Drosophila melanogaster: one gene and its partners. The protein of the gene in region 3 interacts with the protein of the main gene of each other region in a pairwise test. Each region holds a gene or a part of one and is shown on either strand. Other genes may lie near its edges.

Region 1 (6,440 bases), 2.0 Mb from region 3:
GGCAAGGAATTAAACTTAAGCTCAAAAGGTCTAGTTAATACTATATGTATAGTGTATAAATTGCAATTACCTGCCATCTATACCATCTATATATTAGTTTATAGCCACTTTCGAAATGTCTCAACCTCGAAAGCCACTAAACTTTATTTGCGCGAAACACTCTACTAGCTTGCAATATTTTTAAGTGCAAAAGTTTGCGGCAGCAGGGGCAGAGTGACTGAGCTAATTTCCCAAAGATTTATGGCCAGCACGAAGCGCATTGATATATGCCAAATTGTTTACAAATTGATTGCATTATTAATAATGCCCACCGAGGGCCGATCAAAGCCTCTTTCGTTCTCATTCCGAATTCAATCGAAAATGTCAGCGGACAAGGTGCGTGGGGCAGCTGGGGGAAGCTGTGGATTTTGGGGCGCGTAAAATGTAAAATATTCCAACAAAGTACTCCTTATGTCATATGACAGACGACAAACTTTGGCAATAAATCAAACAACAGGCGACGAGCGCTGTTTGTAGGCGGTACAGCTTCAGCTGAATGCGGTTCAGCTCAGCTCAGTTCAGTTCACTTCGGTTTTAGCCTTCTGTGCGGGCATACAAAAGTGGGCGGTTGAGGAGGGGGTGGGGCGTGGCAAGAGAGGCACACGTGGAATACAGAAGCAGTGAAATGCCAAGATGCCACCGCTGTATAGACTTAATACACTTTCGGCACACACAAATTCACTTCCTTAATTGAAATTTTAATTTGAATACTTTGGCAAAGTTTTGGCCGACAGCCAGCTAGCGAGTGAGACAGCTCAGGCAGCAATAACAAACAGCCAAAAAGTCGCCGAAATCCAAATTCCCCGCCACCCATTTCAGGACCAATACCCCCCACCCAGCCCCTTACACAATTTCGCCCCGCGGATCCTTTGCGCTGGCAATCTCGCACAGGCTCAGCGAGTTTTCAATTTACGCGCCTCGCGAGTCGTTTGTCATTTTATGCGTCCTAATATATGGCATGTGCGTGCCGCTACAAGGATACCAGCAGCAGTATCCTTCGCCACCGCCTGGTATCCCCCCATGCTCAATTTTGAGGGGATACCAACCAGCAAGGCGTAACTAATCAGCACAGGCAATGATATGGCGACATCTGATGAATTGTTCGCACAGCCGAAGATTTCAATTGGGGGTGTTGGCATATACATATGTATATATATCTAAATGAATGTGCACGCAGAGAAAATTAATGTATCACTTACTATCACGATCGAAAAGCACTCCATTAAGTCCAAATCTGATGCCAAAATTAAATAAGGTCAGTTACTTTAAAATGAAAAAAAAACCCCCAACGTTATCTTTCAGCCGACGGGGAAGAGAAAAAAAAAAACCCGGCCCTTGAATTCGTATCATTAAATTACTACTTCTCATTATTGCCTGATATTCACAGTTGGCTCTCGGGAGCCATTTATAACGATTGCGATTATTCCGATAGGGAAAATGAAATATTGAAAACAGATAGGACGGCCAGTCAGTATCCGCGTGGAAATTATAGTGTGTTTCACTTTGCGCTATAGATAGATATAGATAGACTCTCCCACTTGCATGGCCAACGCCATCAAAGAGTTTTCATTGTGGCCCCGGGGATTCCCAGACGAGTGCAATTACTTTTGTTAATTGTAATACACACAACCCCAACCAACCAACCAACGCAGAGACACCCGTTTATTTGTCTAATGTGCGAGAGTGTAAAGCTTCTGGCTCGATAATGTTTACCTGGGTGAATACCCCACCACCACCTGGAGCTGGAGCTGGTGCTGGGGGGGGGGGGGTTATAAAAGAAGGCCTGTGATTTTGCGTGTGATTTTTGCCCCCCCTCGAAATTTTTTACTGGGAGAGCGTGCCAAGGCGTAGTTAGTGAGCGGCACTTAATACCCTGATAAGATGTGCGATTAGCGGGCAGCCAGTCGAATGGTAAGTTATGAGCACAATGGTCAGCGCTTCCAGCTGCCAAAAGTCGAATGCGCAATGCTCTAACCGGGGATTTTCGATCGGTGATAATTCAATTGATTTTTATCGCATATTAATTGTATACCCGATTTATTTGGGGGATTTTTGTAGGACTTAATGCATTTTCTAAACAAACATCTCGTATTAATGAGTACAGATATATACGAAACATTTTTCGCTGTGTGTTTATCTGATTTGCACACCTGGGTCGTTAAAATATATTTATTAGCATTGTATATCCACCTGCTTGGGCCCATCAAATTGACGACCCCATGCACACGAAAATAATTGTTAAACGTATTTATTTTTCATTTAACCTGCGGATTTAAGAACTTCCAAGTGGTGGACCTCTCGAAGAAAGAAGAGCAACTCAAGATTACAAGACCTAATCAACGGTCCCCTTGTTGCCAACGAACATAGAAAACTGCCTCTAAGACTTCGGACTTCATTTCAGTTAGCGTCAAAGACATTGGCAAACAACATGGGCGACAAGGTGTCTGGATCCGTCTCCACTTCTGGCCCAACTTCCTTGGCAATCCTCATGGACTCGGAGCAATTGGAGCAGCAACAGCTGGCCACAAGTTGTGGTAAGTAGCGCCGCAACTATTTTGCTGCTGAAAACAATTCAACAATTTCCAAGAGCGTTTGAGAGAAATTTCCCCTTTTTGAAGTGTAATAAATATTCCAATGCTGGGCGAAGGGGGGGGGGCGGTGTGGTCTGCGTGTTTACCTTGCCACAAGTATAAACAGCAAATAAAATAAGACAAGTAGAGGTTGGAGGAGAAAATGAGTCCGGTGATTTGGACTTCCTTTGGACGAGGCGCCAGAACGCATCTGGCGGTTATCCCCCGAAATTTTCGACTCGAAAAACCTGTGTGCACACAAAGAAAAAAAAACTAATTCAGATTAAGAGCGAGATGAAGATGAAGATGGAATGTGCTTGTTCGCCATAAATCGACGACGGAAAATAAAACGCTGTTAATTTGTCTAGCCATCCGATCTCGGCACTCCGACTAAAGCAATTTAATACCAGCCGCATTTGCAGCGGGATTCCCCCAAAAAAATCAAAGCGATCCCACCAAGGGGCATCCCCGATTCGAAAATACAACAAAAACAAAAATTAAATCACACGAATACATATTATAAAAGAGTATGTCCGGTGCCGGTGGTCAAAGAAAGCAAATGACACAGAGAACGACGGGGGCAGTGATGCTGTCACAGCAACCAGCCATAAAAAATCACGGTTTTGAGTTTTGGAATCGTAAACAACTGAAATCGTGCGAAAAGAATATCAGCTTTTATAGGAATATAATTTAAATAAGATATCATGTATCCTTACGTGTAAAACAAAGTAAACCCAAACTATTGAAACGATTCAAGTTGGTTCTTATAAAGGATTCAGACTAAAAGAATAATCTTTCCACTATGAACATAAAAAATGAGAATACATTTCAAAAATGAATTCAATTAAAAATCTGTATCTAAGTTAATATAAAGATTTCATTGAAATGGTTAATTTACATTTTTAAATAAGGAATTTCGTACGAAGAAATGTCACATCTGCGAGCTGTCAACCTTTGTTTTAACTCTAGTCTGTGACTATGTATTTAGATGGCATCAGCCGAATTTCCTGACTGCAAAAAATATTCAACAATTCAACTGTCACCTCCAGCTATGGAAATTGTTCGTTCATTTATCAAAACACAAGAAGTAAAACCGCAGATGTGAGCTCAAAAACGCAATATTACCATTTAAAAAAGAGATGGTTAAAGCAACGGATGACTCATAGATTTCATTTTGGGCGAATAACAGTGACATTAATAAATCGCCACAGGGAGATTCAAAAATAACGTAAACTTAGCCATTGGCAAATGCTAAGTTCAGTTCGCAGCTGTCTGATTATTTGCACAACCAAAGTCTTGAGAATTGGTTAAAAAAAAAAAAGTTCCCCATAGCTGATTTATGCCCTCGATAGAGGGTTCTTATCAGCAGCGACCTTCGAGAATGACCGATATTGAACTAGTTGAATGAGTGTCATTCTGATCCGTATGATCAGCGATCCGTATCACGGTAATCTAATCGTCACTTGCCAAAACAGTTGGGATTGTTAATCACTCACGCTTGTCGGAAGTTGTTATTGCGGGGCGTGAGTCGTGCCCTATAGTCTATGCAACGTTTTCAGTGATTAACCCTAATTGGTTATCTAAGTGTTGGGCCAAAGTGTAGTCATTTCGTGCACGCGAAGAAAAGTAACGATTTTGAAATAGGTTCACACATGAACAGTGGAACAGTAATCACTCAATGCAAAATAATCAAAGCTAATTTCAAACAAGTTGGTTTAAGTGAAAACGTTTGGCTGAATAAAGCAAATATTGTCTGGTGCCAATATTTTCTTTCTCTGCACGCGTATCTGTCATTTGGAATGTCGATTCAGAGTGACACGTGTGATAGCCCTCGTAGCCGCAGCGCTTGAAAAAGAACCCTTCGGATTGGCAAAAAAAAAAAAGTACCGGCGATCGGAGGAGGTAAAATGCGGTTGAATGGGGCCAATAAATTCGCGGCGGCATGGGTAATTCACCGCAAACGAGGCGCTAGTTCGATCATCGTATTAAATTTCCCTAAGGGCGACATCGTGACCTTAGCGCAACTCGCCGCCTGATAACAGCTTTATCAAACTCGGCTGCGACGTCAACGGCGGCAGCGGCAGCAGCAGAAGCAGCGGCGGTAGCCGCGACAGCGGCGGTAACCGTCGAGGCGCGGCAGCGGCGGCCAAAAGCTCACTCCGAGCGAAATCGAAATCAAAGAGCGAGCGGCGAGAGCGTTGGGGGGCCATAAGTTCGATGCGATTAGCCATTTGTTTGGCATTGCTCCCACGGCAGCGGCGGCGGTCACAGCAACAGCAATCGGAAGCAGCGACGCCAGCAGAGGCAGAAGCAGCAGCAGAGGCAGCAGCAGCAGTGCGAATTCGGTGTGTGAATTTTTCTATAAACTCCGGTCCGCCCTTATGCTGGCCAACATTCGCGCTTTATACGCTTGATACGAAGCATAACGCCGCTATGTGAGCGCTGCCGCACCAAAGTCTGACCTTCACACACTGTCGAAATTTTGCACAACTCTTGCCACAAAGCAAAAAAAAAATAAACGGTAGCAGTCAGCCAGCAAACAAACAACGCTGCAAGCAAACCAACAAACAAACAAAGAAACAAACAAACACAAAAATAAACAAACAAACAAGACAAGAAACAAACAGCGACTAGCAGTCGATACAAAAGTTCCTAAATCCAAGTCACAGTTCCTAAGCAGTTGGATTGCAGCAGCACTAACTTCGCAACAGCAGCAGCAACTTGGCAACAGCAGCAACATCGCAACAGCAGCAGCAACTTCGCAGCAACAGCAGCTAAAAGCAGCAACATGACAGCACTGGGATTAGTTCTGCTATCGATGATGGGTAAGTGCCGGGTGTTAGGGTGCTTTTCCTTATCGCCATGCCCCTGAGAACTTACCAATTGTGCAGATAGCACCCGGTATGGGAATGTGGGGCTATAAGATCGGGTTTTTTTTTTGAATTCCTGAGCGCCCAGCAAGTGCAATCTGCGTCAGCTGAGCGCACTGATAGCCCAGAGATAATATATGCATCGAACTGTGATAGGTGTTTCCATATATGTATGTATATATGTATATGTGCCGTATGCTGTCAGAAATGTGATTTTTTGTTTCAATTAATTACTGACATTTAACAAAATTGTCATTTACGGCCTGACAGGCAGGCAGCGAGCGAGTGAAATGGTTTTTGATTTTAATATTCATAATTATAATCGCACCCTAACCGCGAACGAGAGTTGCTCATTTAGCCAAAAAGTCAGCTTTCATGCACATAATAATAAACAATTTCAAAAAATGAAATAAACAAATTCCAAAATGTTCCCTGAGTTTTCAAGTCCAAAACGAAATGTAAGCACGTAATGTTCTAATTTCACGAAGGTGAATGAAAATACGTCACTATGTTTTGGTGAATAAAATAATAGAATAATCATGATTAATCAAATAATAATATAATAACAATTCCACTCTAAATGCATCCTTTAGATCCGTGTGTTCCTTGCGTATTTCAATCTTTAAAATAGTAGAATAAATTTCGAACTTAGTTCATCAGATGAAAATGGTTGCAAAAAATGTAGAGAACATATGTTTAGTACATTAATTAAAAGGGAATTAAATCTTCGGCTTTTGGAGCCAGAACATGCGCTTTCTTTTCTGGTTTTGTTGCTTTTTCGCTCTTTTCTGTTTTTATTGTGCAATTTTTTCTGTTTTTATTTTTTTGTTGTTGCTCCGGCGGGTACTTTTTGTTTTCAAGTTGTACGGTCGCTTTTTGCCTCTTCATTTTTCAATTTTGTTGTAATCGAGCGTGACTTAATTTCGCACATTCCCCGAAACAATGTACAATGCACGGATAT
Region 2 (4,188 bases), on a different chromosome or scaffold from region 3:
ATAAATGGCTAACGAAAAAGAAGAAAAACTACGAGTAGTGAAAATCCAACAACTCACAGAGCATATAAAACATGGTTCATGTTCATTTCCAGCACTTGGTTTTCTATTTCCAAGCCAAACACTCTATGGTGTTCCATGTCGCTGCGTGGGTGCTCATTTTTTATTGCAGTATCATCTTCCGGTCACTTTGTCAGGCCTCCAATACATTTCTCAAACAGTAACGACGGCACAAGTGTGCCTACTTGGGTTCGAACTTGAGTTATTAAAAACAGAAACGGAATCCAAGAAGTAATAGAACTACGTCCGACAAACGGAAGTCGGATAGACAATGTCGCAGTGTGGATGGGTTCTATCTAAGGGTTACACTGAGAGTTATGTGTTGTTACAGGAGCTTCTCATTCGAATCTCTTAATAATTAATTGATTTTGCACATTAGTTTCAAACTATTAGTCTATAGAACTGAGCAATAAAATGAGTAAGCTAATATATTTAACTTCATTGGTTATGCAGGAATTGGGTTCTTCTGCTTATGCCACTTAAAAGCAGTTCGCGTGACTGCACTTAGTTCAGTGGCACTAGAGTCCGTTTGCTCGGAGTGACCGGTCCCAAAACCACCAAGTGAACCGTCCCCCTAGCACTCCGCCCCAACACCCACTTACCGCCCATTTCCCCACCCACCTACACACGCAGTCGACGCACCGCGTTACGCTTTGAATATAAATTACACAAATAGTGCACACGACTTTGATGGCTGCAGCCGGCGACATTGAAAGCCGACAACGCTGCACAGTGGGTCGAATCCGAAAAATTATTTATATTTTAATGATAATGATAAGCTTAAAGTGTTGACTAAAATTATGCTATCTACCTCAATCATAAACATCACTATTTTCGATTTATCACATCCAATTTAATTAAAATAAACCCTTTTCGGTCTTTTTGTCGGTATTTTGTGTGCTTGAACAATGCATGTGAAACTTTTATACTTTCCAAGCTGAAAGCCCACAAATTAACCCAAGTCAAAGCACTTCGGTTCAAACTCTTTGGGTCACTGCAAAGACCACAGTGCAGATGAGCTGCCAGGAGCGCTGGTCATATCACCATGGCCCTTTGATGCTAATGACTCTGCCATCGCCTTAAAACCGGGGGATAAGCATCGATGGGGGCTCACAACGCTCCGAACTTAGCGGGCAATCAAAAACCGTGCTGAGGCAAATTGGCATGCGTGATGTAGATGAATGGAGATGCAGCCAGATGCAGCTAGATGCAGTGGCCAGGGGGAAATGGCGATGGATGGAGTTTCTGGGCGGGGGCAGAGGTACATATGTGGGACAAGTGATTTCCGCATCGCTTTCTGGATCGCAGCGAGCGGCTGCGTTGATTGATTGATTAATTGACAAAGGAATTGCCGTTAGTTTTCCATTCGCATTTACATTTGCATATCTAATTTATGAACGGCCAAGTCTTGTCCGGCCGTATGTAGTTCATTGTGTTAGCTATGCAAATGCTGTACTTCCGCTGCGAGCGTCTGCCCAAAGCAGCTTAATTATTCATTAATTTCAACTTAAATTCCATATTTGTGCCTGCAGCCATTTGTGGCCCAGTTTCGATGGCCTGCAGTTGCAGTTATCTTTCCGCTGGCTTTTGTCACCATAAAACTGAAGTGTTGCCCGATTATGAAATAATTATAAGCGTTCTGCACGCACTAACCGGTGATTTTAAGGGCGATTGGACTTTGATTCGGATTTTGGGAGATAGAGTTCAATGTGGGAGCTATTCGCATCGATTCTAGTACGAAATTAACTAGCTTTGTTTAGAGATTTGCGCAACTCGGGCATCTAGTTACCCGTTCCATTGTGTTTCAATACCCATGGAAATGAGAACATTTATGAGCCTCACTCGGCCCGAAAATTGCACCCAGTTAGCATCTATGTAAATTCACAAAATCTATAAAGTGGGACCCAATTTGCCACTGCCATCTGCCTCGACCTTCGTTTTCAGTGGAGGTGCTGCAGCATGCCTTGCATATTTAATCCGGGCTACATTGGACCCGATCCGCCCTGCTGTGACCCCGATTGCTTGGAGGAGGGCCACTGCACGGTTCCGGAGTGCGGAGTTTGCCCGGAGTCCCAACTACCCCGATGCAATCCCGCCCCACAATCCAACAAGGACGCGGCGAAGCAACCACTGGACCAGAAAGCCCAAAAAGAACCGAAGCTCCGGGAACAGAAGTAGTGGGGAAAAAGGCAAAGCTGCAAAAATGAACCAGGAGTCCTTTGGAGATGTGCTGAACACACAACCTTGTTGTGTGTTGCTAATATCTTCAAACATCTTGAGCTAAACCCATTTAGCTCATCATCTCCTGGGCATCGAACCGTCATATTGTAACATTATATTTCAAAAAAATTAATAATAATAATAAATAAATAAAATGAATATCTATAAATAATAAAAACAATAATAATATATATTAACCTCAAATTACCAGCTCTTTTCTATTTTAGCACAAAATAACTGTGGATAAAAAATACAGATAAAATTAATTCATTTTCTTATGATCTATCTAAAATGAAGTCAAATAAATTTAAACCAGCATTCTTGATTTAAATGTCAACAAAATAACACATAAGCGTACATACGCATTTTCTTCATTCAAATTTCAAGCACGAAACGTGTTGTTCTGGTCAAACATTTGTTTAAATTTCTCATTTTTCTCTTCCATTTCCGGTGAGTTTCGAAAGAGAAAATGTGGGAGATGTATTTATAAAATAAGATTTGCAGACTTCTTTCGAGTGCTGAAAATGGTTTACTTAAGTCGTCCTTGGACTCCGGCCATAAACCCTTTCTACATTGGCCCCTATCCGAGATGCGCAGTATGTCCGTGCAACTTCGACATTTACAAAGGATACACCCCCGGTGGCTGGCACAGTCGTTGCTATAGCAGCTATTGACGAGACGAGTACCTGTATAAAATGCAAGAATAACGGCGGGAACAAATATAGTTGAACTTTGAAACTGCACACCAATTAGCCTCGCACACATCTATGTAGAGAAATAATAAAATTGATTCATCGTCACCAAACTGTTGAATATTGCTGGGGAAATAATATAAATATTCCAATCGAAATGGCTTAGATTTCAAATTAGAACTCCTGGGAATTTTAGTTTATCAGGTCGCAAATTGTGTGAAAATAGTTTTCTAAATTCAAAATTCAAGTCTCTTGGTCATGTCCTCGTCTGTGGATCACGTGGTACACCACGTACTGGCCCCAATGGCAATCAACGTCCTCGATCGCGTGGTGCCAGTAATCCGCCAATTGGTGATCATCATGCATCAGGCATTTCTGGTTGATCACCATGTGTCGGAGCCCGTGATCGATGTATCCGGCATGATTCAGCCCGTTCGTAAAATAGTCTTGATTGTAAACGATTCAACGCCGGAGCACCATGTCGACCAGGAGCAGGTGGTCAGTTCGGATGACATTAACTACCTGATAAATGAAATTTCGCGAAGTATCCGAAACTTGGCCCGTTCGACCTATAATACCATCTCGGCGATGGCTGGAGAGTAGCCCTAGAATTATTTGTCATCGTGGTCGATCGAAAAATCCGACATCGACCCTCCTGATCCTCCAGAAGATCCTGCTCCTTTGCCCAAGATATGGAAATGGTTCACACGGCCATCGGAGTTGCGGGCATAGTGGCCCTGTTTATGGTAGTTTCCCGTTCGTTAACTGAAGTGGGTGGCAGGGTGTTAAACCAAACCCGTGATCCGATCGCTGACCTTGTGAGGCGCGGTGGTCCAGTGGCGGATCAGCTGTCCGCCGTCGAGGGCGAAACTCCTCTAGTAGAGGGCGATCGCATGGATGGCGCCTGCTCCGTGGTACAAAGTATTGGAGGCAAGGCATGTGCCTTTGTAGGACCATTGCTTCCTAAGTTTGGCAGTGAACATAATTCCGAGGGCTCCTCCAAGGAAGACGAAAAGGATAAAAAGGACTCGGAACCGGTAGTAGTAAAACCTGAAACACCGCCAGCGGCAGAATTAACCGAAGAGGAGTAGGATCTAGTCAGCAACTATGTCGAATAGAAAGCAAAAAAAAGGAAATTTTTAGTTTTCTCTAGTTGGCCTTGGAAATAAACTTCACTCATCTTGTGGGCTTTGTGGGATTCGAAACCTAGAGAGCTCAT
Region 3 (6,088 bases):
GTGATGGGCGTTGTACTTCAGTGGATCGTACTTAATGTTCCAGCCCTGTTTCCACACGCCTCCATCTATGTCCTTGAAGGACATGCGATCGTATAGCTCCAGCATCTGTACATCCACATTGGGCACGTCTTGGACCACATCTTGGCATTGCCCTGGCCTCGGGGAACGAGCCACTTTAAGTGGAGGTCTTATTGGATCGTCGCGATTGGATGTTTCGGCAAGACGCGCCCTGAGATTCCGCATCTCCTCCCCGTGCTCCTGCAAACCATTTTCCAGCTCATGCAGCTTGTTCTCAATGTTCTCATAGTTGGGCTGCTAAAATAAAGAAGTTATTATACATTCGAATTGATTTAGAAGCATTTATTTACCTTTATCTGGGTGGCTGCCGGCGCCGCAAAATTGAGGATTATGTACAGGCTGAGGAAAACCAGCAGGCAGCCGGAGCAAATTACCAAAGCGAACCGCCGACGTATTCGCAACATTTTCCGGTTAATTAAGCATGGAAACGTCGACGTCAGAGACACAGCAGCCAACTGCAACAATCCAATCGGTTGGAACTTGCGTGGTTTTTTTTTAGCATAAACAAATCAGATCTGGCGATATGTTTGCTTTTCCCGAAAATCGATAGGCTGTCAAGTTATCGGCGCTGCTAACTGCAAAATGTTAAATTGTTAAAATGGCTTAGAAAGACAAAAACTTTAAAGGCAATTAAAGAAAATGTAATAAAACTCTTATGTTGTTTGTGTATATTGATCCTTTAAAAAAATTATTATTATCCTTAGTTATCGTGACATTACAGCTTTTTAGCTGTACAGAGTTAACAGATACCGCCAAGTGGCAACGCCATCAAATTCTGTTGCTTCTGTTGTGATAAACTAACGGTAAAATCACAATCCTTTATTGAGATTAACGGTCAAATCAATAGATAAAAGAAAACTTATTACATATTTAAAGAATGATGAAATTTTTAAAATTCATTGTATCATATGTTATTCGGCCACTGTAACCGAAATCAACCATTTTTGGCGGATGCTGTGTGTTTGTTTTGCTGACAACTATCGATTTTGTCAGACGCAGCATCTTTAACTGAACGAAAAAGGCGCGTGGTGCAAAATATATTAATTGATTATAGATCGTAGTGATTATATTTGAGACTATATGATGAAGCGACAGAATGTCCGTACCCTTTCCCTGGTGGTATGCACTTTCACCTATCTTTTAATTGGAGCCGCCGTGTTCGATTCCCTGGAGTCACCAACGGAGGCCAAAAGATGGGAATTCCTACAGAGTGAGAAGCTTGTTGATTTATTAACCTAATTTCTTAGTAATGAATTTATTTAATCAATTGTAGCCGTTAAGAACAACTTTGTTAGAAAGTACAATGTGACTGACGAGGATTTCCGTGTGATGGAAATCGTCATCATTGAAAATAAGCCCCACAAGGCCGGACCTCAGTGGAAATTCGCTGGAGCTTTCTATTTCAGCACGGTTGTACTGGCAATGATAGGTAAATTAATTATCTATTAAATATGATTTATTGAATAGATTATAATTCTGTTGTAACTTTCTTTAGGATATGGTCATTCTACGCCAGTTACAATTCCGGGAAAAGCATTTTGTATGGGCTATGCTATGGTAAGTGAACTTACAATCCCAATTTCCAGTCTTCTAAAGATATTCCCTTATTAGGTGGGCATCCCGCTGGGTCTGGTGATGTTCCAGTCTATCGGAGAACGTCTGAATAAGTTTGCATCCGTGATAATAAGGCGGGCAAAGAGAGCCAGTGGAGCTCGCTGTACGGATGCCACCGAAATGAATCTCATGTTGGCCACCGGAATGCTCTCCTCCATAATAATCACCACTGGAGCAGCAGTCTTTTCCCGATACGAGGGTTGGAGCTACTTCGATAGCTTCTACTATTGTTTTGTCACCTTGACGACAATTGGTTTCGGCGATTATGTGGCATTGCAGAACGACCAAGCTCTAACTAATAAGCCTGGCTATGTGGCGCTGAGCTTGGTCTTCATCCTATTCGGCTTGGCCGTGGTGGCCGCCAGTATCAATCTATTGGTGCTCCGATTCATGACCATGTGAGTCCATGTTCTATTGCAGGAAATATCTTATTTAATGGATTTTTAATCACAGGCAAGCAGAGGATGCCAAGAGAGATGAGCAGGATGCTCAGAACTTGGCTGGAAATGCCCAGCCGGTGACCTTCGATGATGAGTCCACGTACAATATGCACGGCAAGCTGCTGGAGAACAACTACACAACGGAGAACGATGAGACCGCCTCCCTGTGTTCCTGCACCTGCATGGGTGGCACCAGGTGCCTGAATCATGAGCAGTTCGTGGACCCGGACTTTCAGCCTACCGACATTATCGAGAGCACCTTGTGCCTGAAGCGAGCCTCCGTCTGATATCCGTACAGCCAGCTGTGGGACTCCTCATTGTAGGAGCCAGAGCCAATGGATCACCAAATCGTAGTTACAATCCTGTAGAGAACCATCCGCCGCCAAAATTTGGTTGTTAGACAAACCTTCCTCCCTACGTAGATTTTTAAACCAGGATGGGTCATAATACATATAAGTTTGGAGAGCAAGGTTAATAGTCTTTAAAAGGCAGTTTTTGCTTAAGAAATAATCGACCCATCCCATTATACACCCATATAAACATTTACAAAGGAGTAAAATCCAGGACATCCATGTCAATATCAATCGTATCATCTGGTCGGTAGCCTTGGAATCCTCTATTGCTTCCAAGGCACCGCCAAATCCATCCCATCTCGAATTTTAGCCGTATATTCGTTTATCTATGTAAGTACTATTAAAGTTTGTGCTCAAAACGGAGAACTGAGTTTTCTGAAATCGGGGTGTGTGAAATGTGTCGAAGTCGGAAATCGTAGTAGCCTATTTGTGAACATTCGGTGTAGTAATCCAAGCCAGGTTCAGTTCACCTCAGTATCAGCTAGCACGTACACGACTAAAATCTAAACCTGAAAAATTATACGTTTAAATATTCAGTCTTTTGCCGATTTTTGCCCCACTCAGACTGTTTTAAAAGCTCGATTTTTTTTTGTACCATTTTTTCGGTGTGAAAAAGGGGCCCTAACTTTACTATCAAAATGCGTGAAATTGTACACATTCAGGCCGGTCAATGCGGTAACCAGATCGGTGGTAAATTCTGGGAGGTAATCTCGGATGAGCACTGTATAGATGCGACCGGAACGTACTACGGCGATAGTGATCTCCAGCTGGAGCGCATCAATGTATACTACAATGAAGCCACCGGTGCCAAGTATGTGCCACGCGCAATTCTCGTGGACCTGGAGCCCGGCACCATGGATTCGGTTCGTTCTGGCGCCTTTGGCCAGATCTTCCGGCCGGACAATTTTGTGTTTGGCCAATCGGGAGCAGGCAACAACTGGGCCAAGGGTCATTACACCGAGGGTGCTGAACTGGTGGATTCCGTCTTGGATGTGGTGCGAAAGGAGTCCGAGGGATGCGATTGCCTTCAGGTAAGTTTTGGGGGTTTGGGAATTTATCTGAAAAAGTTTACCCTACTTTTCTCCAACAGGGCTTCCAGCTGACCCACTCGCTGGGTGGCGGCACTGGCTCCGGCATGGGAACCCTGCTGATCTCGAAGATCCGCGAGGAGTACCCGGACCGCATCATGAACACCTTCTCGGTGGTGCCCTCGCCCAAGGTGTCCGATACGGTGGTGGAGCCCTACAATGCCACCCTGAGTGTGCATCAGCTGGTGGAGAACACCGATGAGACGTACTGCATCGACAACGAGGCGTTGTATGACATCTGCTTCCGCACACTGAAGCTGACCACGCCCACCTACGGTGACCTGAACCATCTGGTTTCGGCCACCATGTCTGGTGTGACGACCTGCCTGCGCTTCCCTGGCCAGCTGAACGCTGATCTTCGCAAGCTGGCCGTGAACATGGTACCCTTCCCCCGGCTGCACTTCTTCATGCCCGGATTCGCACCGCTCACCTCGCGAGGATCGCAACAATACCGGGCCCTTACCGTTCCGGAGCTGACCCAGCAGATGTTCGATGCCAAGAACATGATGGCTGCGTGCGATCCGCGACATGGTCGCTATCTGACCGTCGCCGCCATCTTCCGTGGCCGCATGTCCATGAAGGAGGTGGACGAGCAGATGCTCAACATTCAGAACAAGAACAGCAGCTTCTTCGTGGAATGGATCCCGAATAACTGCAAGACAGCGGTGTGCGATATTCCGCCCAGAGGTCTCAAGATGTCGGCCACCTTCATTGGCAACTCCACCGCCATTCAGGAGCTATTCAAACGGGTTTCGGAGCAGTTCACCGCCATGTTCCGAAGGAAGGCCTTCTTGCATTGGTACACCGGCGAGGGAATGGACGAAATGGAATTCACAGAGGCCGAGAGCAACATGAACGACTTGGTTTCTGAATATCAGCAGTACCAGGAGGCGACTGCCGATGAGGAGGGCGAATTCGATGAAGACGAAGAGGGTGGCGGCGATGAATAATAGGATTAACTTCCCACTCAAGATCACACATGAACACCAAAACAGGCTAGCAGGGGAACCCATTAGGAAGGCACAACACATTGGATCTTTGGGCCTTAGCATATTGTGCTTCGAGGCCCGTCGGTTGTACATATTTCCTATATGGATTCTTCACTGTTCGATTATTTATCATTCACACACGTACAGAAGAAATATGTCCACCTTTGTTAAGCTCATGTTGCAATTGCTGTGATTTCTGGGTTACGAATAAATGTTGATTTATAAGCAGACAAGATTACCAACAGCATTTTGCATATTTTTATACCGTTCAAAAGGCATTGCATAAACCTAAACATTAATATATAAATATTCTGGATTGAATTGAATTTGAGGCTAAGCGCTCAATATCGAAAATCTATATTTTGTTGGCAATCATTTTTTAGAGTTGCCTTACGAAAGTGACAGCTTTCCTTTCTGACAGGCCGTCATCATTCAAGTCATTCAAGTCATTGAAGTCAAGGCACCAAGATGTATTTTCCGACTACTCCAGTTACCTCTCGCAGTGGCTATCTGCGCGGCCGAAAGCGCATAAATCCGCATCCCATATCGCAACTGCAGAGTGGAAAACCGACGTCGGAAGACGACCAGGATAGCACAAATGTTGATCTAGAAGAATCAATCAGCTCAAGCTACTCATCGGAGACGGACATCTCGATGAACGTGGAGGCGCAGGACACCAGCACGGATAGTGGTCTGGACACTAGCCAGGAGAGCAGCAACGAACCGCGCTACTCCCTTCGAAAGATGGATAAGAATCCTCTTTAGTGGTTTATTCAACTGAATGGTCTACATGGGTGTAAAGGAACAGCAGCAGCAGCAGTGGCATCGGGAAATACTTAAGCGCGAGCGAAATATTGAGATACTCGGTAACGAATTGAAATAAAGAGTTATCCATATCCAAAGTCTAGACATCGTCGAAGAGTCCTCGGGGTGGTGGGCCGACAATTCGACCATCTGTCTCCGCCTCGTAGTCGGGGTCTCGGAATCCCACCTGCACCTGAGTGCTCACACCGAAACGGTCGTTGATCTCCTCCGACAGGGATCGCGGTACGCCCAGTGCAGAGGAAGAAGCCACTGCCGCATAGTCAAAGCTGCCGTCGCCATCGCGCAGCAGCCCGTCGGCGGGCGTGCGACTACTGGTTAGTCCACCGGGTCCACCACTCCGGTATTTGCTCAAGTAATCGCTGCCCAGAACCTGATCGGTTCGGTTGAAGTCACGGCGTCTGGCCATCGCCTCCTCGGCACGCTGGCGGCGGCGCTTTTCCCGCGCTATAAGATCCTTTCCCTCCTGCACCAGTTCGGTAGCAATAGTTTCGTTTTGCAGGAACTGCTGGAAGCCGAGAGCATTCAGTGCCCGACTGCCGAGGCTAAACCAAGTGGCCAGACAGAAGGCCAGCATACACATTGGGAAGTAGATATTGAAGCCGTTCGAGATGATGCCAATAACATCCATGTGGCCCATGATCTGCGTGTACACCGTCTCCATAATGCGCTGAGGAATAGTTTATAAATTTTCAGTAATTCAG
Region 4 (6,339 bases), on a different chromosome or scaffold from region 3:
CGAAGGGGTGGTGGGGGAGGGTGTGGGTCAGAGAACATGGAACATGGGAGAGACAAGGACAGCACACGGGCGACAAAGATAGCCGGTCGAGTTGATAAATTGCGCGCACAACACAGAGACAAAGAATGCGCCAGCTTACGGACACCCACACAGAAACGGACACCTCGCTTATTAGGCACAGTCTGAGTCATTACAATAAGTTTAACTAAGGCCAATGATATTTATCATATTAGTACATATTAAATTGATTTAAAAAAGTTATATTGTTTTATAGAAAAAGAAGCACTTATCATATACAAGTAATTATTTATATTATTTGTAATTCTATTCCAGACTTTACCATCCACTGTAGATCCCGTGTGCCCATGAAAAGCTTGCCAACTGTCCACCACTTTCGCCCAACCCGCAACCTTATCCACTCACCCAGCATCCCGGGCATCCTTGGACTTTTCCCGGCGATGGTCGAGCAATTTAATCAGACAGCAGAGCGCAGAAAAGCTGATAATACCGTTATGAATAATTTACCCACATACGCACACACATTCGCTGATGGGAAGTGAAACGCGTTTTATTATTGTTTCTGGACCTGTCTCTTTTGGTTTTATTTATAATTAATATAGCTGCGCCAGCGTATAATATAAAAACATCGCATAAAAGCACTTGTTGTTTGCACTTTTGCTTTCGAGCCTTTAAGAAGCTGCGTGTGAAATCGTTTTAATTAGGTGCGGTAACTTGTTGCGGCTGACCAGTGGAAAACGGAAACTACAATTTGGGAGCGGGGAATCCCCGAATGTCATATTCACCTCAGATATTTGCCGCTGTGCCGATGTGCTTTCTGTCAAAATCAATGTACATCCCCACCGCAAATATCATGAATACAAGATGTTTGCGGTGGGGACTAATATCGAAATTTTGTCTTCGCAGGCGACCGCAGTAAATGAAACAACCAGAAATGAACAATTTACCAACCAAGTATGTCATTTAATGGCTACCCTGATGTATTTAGTTAGAGAGACGGTTGGGATAATTAAATAATTGGCTTAATGAAAATATACTTTCAAGTGAAATCGTTTTATTAATCACACAAGGTTCTTAACTTAGATGGAATATGATATTTCAAATATTTTTTTTTAACATGTCATGCTTCTTCAAAAATTATGTGCTTAAGGATGTCAATTTATAATTTGCAATTAAAGGAGGTTAATGACATCTCAGCGCAGTCTTTCTTAATTATACTATACTCAAATATGTTCGGCTCTTTTGTAATGGCAGATTATAGCTTGGGCTACAATACTTTGTTCATATGCATTTCGGACTAGTTTCAATCTCAGAGCTAAGCTCAAACTACAGGATTAGGTTCCTTTAAGCGCTCAGCTCGTTTCCCCCTGCTTCTTCTGGAGAACCACAGCAATCTGGAGCGCCTTTGAGCTGTGACCACATCGGATTCCACATGGATGCAGTTCCTTCCGCCGGACACCTTGACCAACTTCGTATCCAAATCCAGTTCGCTGGCATTGAGTATTTGTGCGACATGTGCCTCGTCGATTGTGCCTTTGAAGATAAGGGGATAGGGCCACTCGTGGCATATCGTGGGTCCGCTATAGTCCCGCAGAGCCTCGATCATCCTGTCCAGGCGCTGCATCTCCTCGTGGTCGTCGTTGAATTCGCGCACCTCATCCAGCAAAGCTGCCACATCGGATTCGAGCACCTGCGAGGTGAGGTGGAAATTGGATTAGCGGGAAATCGCTTATTTTGCTCGATTTGCACTGCGGTATCCAATGACACAATGACAGTGACGGCGTTACGGTCAGTGATAGCCTTACTTTCCCGCCGGCTGAGCTATCCACCCATCCAGGTCGCCATTCCGGACCCCCTTATTCGCGCCATTCATTCGGCGATGTTGGCTCGGATTTCAGCTCTAATATCTTTCCAAAGGCCTCGTCACTAGCGTCTCTATTAGTGCCAAATTAGCCAAGCCTAGGAACACGGCCAACTAAGCTCATGTTGGGTGCATGTTTCGAAGGGGTGAAAAGTAAACCCTACCCCAAACACTCTACACCAAAAAGGTAGTTATCAAAAGTTAAAATCAAACGAAGAAGCTGTAAAAATAGTTTATCCATGTATTGTAGTTAAAATACAATAGTTAGGGAAGTTGGATTGTATATTTAGTTAGACAATTAATACCGGGTAATCATCCTGTGCGGAAATAACTTTATACTTATTCATCTGGCCATGACTGTGCCATGCATTGCGAAACCGTTCGTTTGCCTATGGCCGAACCGACATTGTCTAATTAGCGGTGCTAGTAATCACTGCAGTCCCCAACTACCCCCACGTCGCACCCCCAACCCTCTCTGACCCGTCCAACATTCTAACATTTCGTTCCCAATAACTGGCTATAATTGCATTAACATGTTCCAAATCGCTGCTGCAGCTGTTAACAGAGTTGCCGGTCGCGCATTGTTGAACAACAGGTGATAGCAGGTGAAATGGCAGCAGAAATAGCGATAACAAATTACAATGGCTAAAAGGGGTTAAGAGATATAGTCGGTTGACCATTGTTAAGCTAAATGCTAAGAGTTTGTTGACAAGCTTTCATTAAGAAAAGCATGCAAAAATGTGACGTTACTTTTATGAAGATTACGTATACGACTAGTTGAAGACGGCATTTAGTAAAAATGGTAAGATAATTTTACTGCTACTAGCTTACTTAATGCATTACAATTTAATTTTTGTATCCAAATAAAAGAGCTATTTTTAGAATGAAAGCCGAAATGAACAGAATTGTTTGTGAAAGCACAGATAATATTTCGAAAGTGATGGAGCGATAACAGAAGTGGCACAAAGGCCAGATAAGAAGGAGATTATACAGACAGAGGCACAGTTGTACATATATACCAGATATAGAATCTGTCAATGTGTTTGCAACACTTTAAACCAGCAACAAAAGTGTAACTCTGCGGCCAAGTGGATTACGCTTGTGTGGTAAAAACAATTTGGACAGGGAAAGAAAGGGAAGAGGTTCGTCGATCAATTACCAAAAACTCAATATGCAGATTAATAACACATTTTAGCACTTGACGAACACGACCGCGCAAACTTTCCACGCTGCGGAGCAGTTGCCTCCGCCGCTGCACCGCCGCACTAATTGGCTCCGTCATCGCGGCATCTGTGATGCCCTGAATGTTTTATTTTTTGATTGCCCACCGCCGGCGACACTTGTCCAATTTTCGGGTGGTTTTTTGGACTTTTACATATAGCACTAATTCGTGTTTGTTGTTTTCCTTTTATTTATTTTCTGTAGTTTTTCGTTCGCTGCCTTTGTTGCTGCTCTACATGTTGCCGCGGAATTCCGCTCGCGAACAGCGCTCGCCGTTGACTGAAGCCTCTTCTTTCAATGAGTAAATTGTTTACGTGCGTCAATCAGCCGGGCACTTGAGTGTGTGAGTATATCTGTGTGGGCACACACTCAACCAATACCCATACACACACTCGCAGTGCAGGAACAATTGGTGCAGTTCCACTTCTCATAGCCACTCAAAAACATCTCAAAATCGGCGGCCACAACCACGGATCCCGCACCACGGACCACGTACCAGGGTTCGGAGCCCGGGATTTGGCTTCCGGCTGTGCGTTGTGTCCGTTGGGTCCGTGGTGTCTGGCCAGTGAGGTGTCTCCGGTGTTTGGTGGTGAAGGGTACCAATAGAAAAACGAAATATCAGCTGTACAATTTATTCGATGGAACATATATTTTGAAGCCACAAACATTCATTTTTGTCTTTGACATTGGCATTACTTATTTTAAATTTTTGGTTTGGACTAGACATAAAATATAAAACGCTACGAAGTGGGGTAAAACCTTGGAACACAGGCTTTTTTAAGAGGTTCCATCATCTCGCGTTTTATCCCAAAGCGGAGCGAGACAGGCATTAAAGATTTATGAGCCATCCTAGTAGCAGGCAATGTTATTATGCAACCATTCTTTCCCCTATTTTTTCCATCGTAATAGTATGCAACACTTGAGTTCCCAATGTAGCCACGAAGTATGCAGCATTTCCCGTATTCATATGCAAGCCGCAATGATTTTAGAGCTGCTCGTTGACTTGGCTTTAATCGTGCTTTTCTTTGGCCCAGCTTCATCCCCATCACCATCCTTATCGAAGTTCCCTTCCACAACCCATTCTGCTGAAAGCCAAACAAGCATCAGCAGTTAGCCATTAAAATTTTAATTTTGTGCACCATTTGCCACCATCTTGGCCCACTGGGCACCGATTCCATCTCGGCAACGTCATAGCCATCGCCATCGCCATTGCCATAGCAATCCCGTCCAAAGCCCTTGGCTTGAGCGATTATGTTGATGGCCAAGTCGAGGCTGCTCACCTGCAAGGGCCACGCCCTCCTCGCCGACGCTCCTCCGCCTCCTTCTTGTCGATAATACGCTCAATTCAATTTGCATATTCAGTTGTCCAATGAAGCGCACACCACACAGAAGCGTTGCGATCCGTCGTCCTTCCAGCTTCCAATTCAATCCCTGCCCCAACCGGTGGCACGACCAAGCAAATGGTCTCTTTCTGGGCCATCCCGGTTGTTGGCCACTTGAAAGAGCCCAAAATGTGCCGCTGACAGCGGCGCACGCATGAGCTACCTGAACTGCTCCAGAACAGCTCGAGCACTGCAAGAAAATGCGGATAAAATATAAGTAATAGTAATAATTTTTCTAAAATATTTTATTGCGATTTAAATTTAGTTACCTAACAGTTTAAGTGAAGCATATCATATTTTCAATTCGAACTAAACTAATTCAGGATACATTTTTCGCAATGCACTTCGAGTTCCCAGAACCAGATCCTGCTCCGTGAATCCTTCTATCCTCGAGTCGTCCTCACCTGCTGTTAGTCCATTACGTTAGCAATTTAACTTACGCCACGTAAACATGATTATCATCTTAAGCGCAGTGTGTGTGCGTGCGGTGCAATGTGCGTGCAGCGGGTGGGAAAACTTCGAAGCCAACTGCGGACTGTAAGCTCGTTGGCTCGCTGTTTAACAACTTTCAATCTGCTTAAAACTGCAATTAATTTAAACGGTTTCTTTTTTGCCCCATTATATCCGAAAACAGTGTTCTCGGACTACCGCCACCCAATCGCAATCCGGATTTCAATCCGGTTAGAGTGCTCCCGCCCTAATTGAGCTTGTCAGAATCAGCCATCAGCAGGCAGAGCGTGTTTTGGCCAGGACACCTGTGAGGGATTCAGCTCCCAGTCGACACAGGTGTTCCGTCCAGACCTTGGATGTGGATCTGCCCTTGTCACCAGCATGTGGTCCAGTGGTGATGCTGATCCTGACGAAGCAGATTGCAGCTGATTGAACCGCACGAGAAGTCGCCCACGTCCACATCACGCATATCCCTCTTTGGAGTTGCGAGAAAATTGCAACAGCCGCTTGATTTATTTGGGGGCGGAACCAAGTTATAACTTGTGGGCGTGGCTGCTATGCAACACCATTTTAGGGCACCGCTGTGTTAGGTATTCCTAAGGAAGAGAGTGAGGAAGGGTATATTTGACATCAGGCCACAGAAATTGCCAGCATGTTTCATCCATTCCTTTAAACATATTTAATTATCCTTACCTTATAACTTTTGTATTGAAAAATAGTTCTAGCTTAAAACATTATACGAGGGTATTCACCAGCCGCCCAATTTTAGTAACCCTTCTTATCACTCTCACTTGTTTTACCACTTGACAGGGTAAATACGAAGCCGAAAAACAAGGACCAAAGTCCATCAGACAGACAGTGAAAAAAGGAGAAAGCTCACTCACGACTACAACTGCATTTATGCAAATATTAATATAGATATACTCACAAACACACACACACACACTCTTACTGTCGGGGCAGATAGACAGTCAGACAGAAAGAGAGGGCATCACAAAGTACCGTTGACAAACCCATTATCAGGAAAACAAACCGGAGATTAACTTGGCAAAATGTCTGCAGACGTCAAAAAAATCCAGAGTGGCCAGCGAGTGCGAGCGAGAGCGCAGCATTTGGATAACCACCGCATGCTGAATAAAATATGAGCACACACATGGACAGATGAAAATGGAGCGAAAGAGACGGCGAGAGGATGCAGACACACGCATTTGGTCCTGCAAAAGTGACACATGAGCGTAATAACAGCTAAGACCTTGCTAAGCATCCGGCAGTCAACAACCACTTGCTGGATGCCCATCCCATGCACATCCATACCCACATCCTCATCCTGGCCTCGTCCTGGTTGCCATATCGTCCTGGTCGAGCGCGTAGCATCCCCTCCTGGTTTTCGGGCCGCCGCTGCACTCA

Evidence for each region.
Region 1: the proteins of betaTub85D (region 3) and PGRP-LB interact in a two-hybrid assay, tested with the Drosophila melanogaster proteins (one large-scale study listed by BioGRID).
Region 2: the proteins of betaTub85D (region 3) and CG42659 interact in a two-hybrid assay, tested with the Drosophila melanogaster proteins (one large-scale study listed by BioGRID).
Region 4: the proteins of betaTub85D (region 3) and CG13707 interact in a two-hybrid assay, tested with the Drosophila melanogaster proteins (one large-scale study listed by BioGRID).

Annotation. Positions count from the first base shown.
Region 1 is NT_033777.3:11,456,580-11,463,019, reverse strand, and holds the start of PGRP-LB (peptidoglycan recognition protein LB), read left to right. Parts: upstream 1-2,467; coding exon 2,468-2,573; intron 2,574-4,999; exon of another isoform or gene 5,000-5,397; coding exon of another isoform or gene 5,398-5,434; intron 5,435-6,440. UniProt on the Drosophila melanogaster protein: N-acetylmuramyl-L-alanine amidase involved in innate immunity by degrading bacterial peptidoglycans (PGN). Probably plays a scavenger role by digesting biologically active PGN into biologically inactive fragments. Has no direct bacteriolytic activity.
Region 2 is NT_033779.5:18,004,767-18,008,954, forward strand, and holds CG42659 (uncharacterized protein), read left to right. Parts: upstream 1-2,593; 5' UTR 2,594-2,727; intron 2,728-2,781; 5' UTR 2,782-2,801; coding exon 2,802-2,951; 3' UTR 2,952-3,076; downstream 3,077-4,188. Other genes in the region: CG5693 (uncharacterized protein), read left to right, coding at 2,017-2,235; CG42634 (uncharacterized protein), read left to right, coding at 3,228-3,572; CG42635 (uncharacterized protein), read left to right, coding at 3,662-4,060.
Region 3 is NT_033777.3:9,407,088-9,413,175, reverse strand, and holds betaTub85D (beta-Tubulin at 85D), read left to right. Parts: upstream 1-2,893; 5' UTR 2,894-3,123; coding exon 3,124-3,516; intron 3,517-3,575; coding exon 3,576-4,523; 3' UTR 4,524-4,793; downstream 4,794-6,088. Other genes in the region: alpha-Man-IIa (alpha-Mannosidase class II a), read right to left, coding at 1-315, 369-482; Task7 (TWIK-related acid-sensitive K[+] channel 7), read left to right, coding at 1,159-1,288, 1,352-1,507, 1,574-1,635, 1,690-2,090, 2,146-2,419; CG44261 (uncharacterized protein), read left to right, coding at 5,031-5,327; CG8135 (uncharacterized protein), read right to left, coding at 5,467-6,054. UniProt on the Drosophila melanogaster protein: Tubulin is the major constituent of microtubules, a cylinder consisting of laterally associated linear protofilaments composed of alpha- and beta-tubulin heterodimers.
Region 4 is NT_037436.4:4,836,740-4,843,078, forward strand, and holds CG13707 (uncharacterized protein), read right to left. Parts: upstream 3,370-6,339; 5' UTR 3,162-3,369; coding exon 3,039-3,161; exon of another isoform or gene 2,185-3,038; intron 2,100-2,184; exon of another isoform or gene 1,824-2,099; intron 1,709-1,823; coding exon 1,340-1,708; 3' UTR 1,052-1,339; downstream 1-1,051.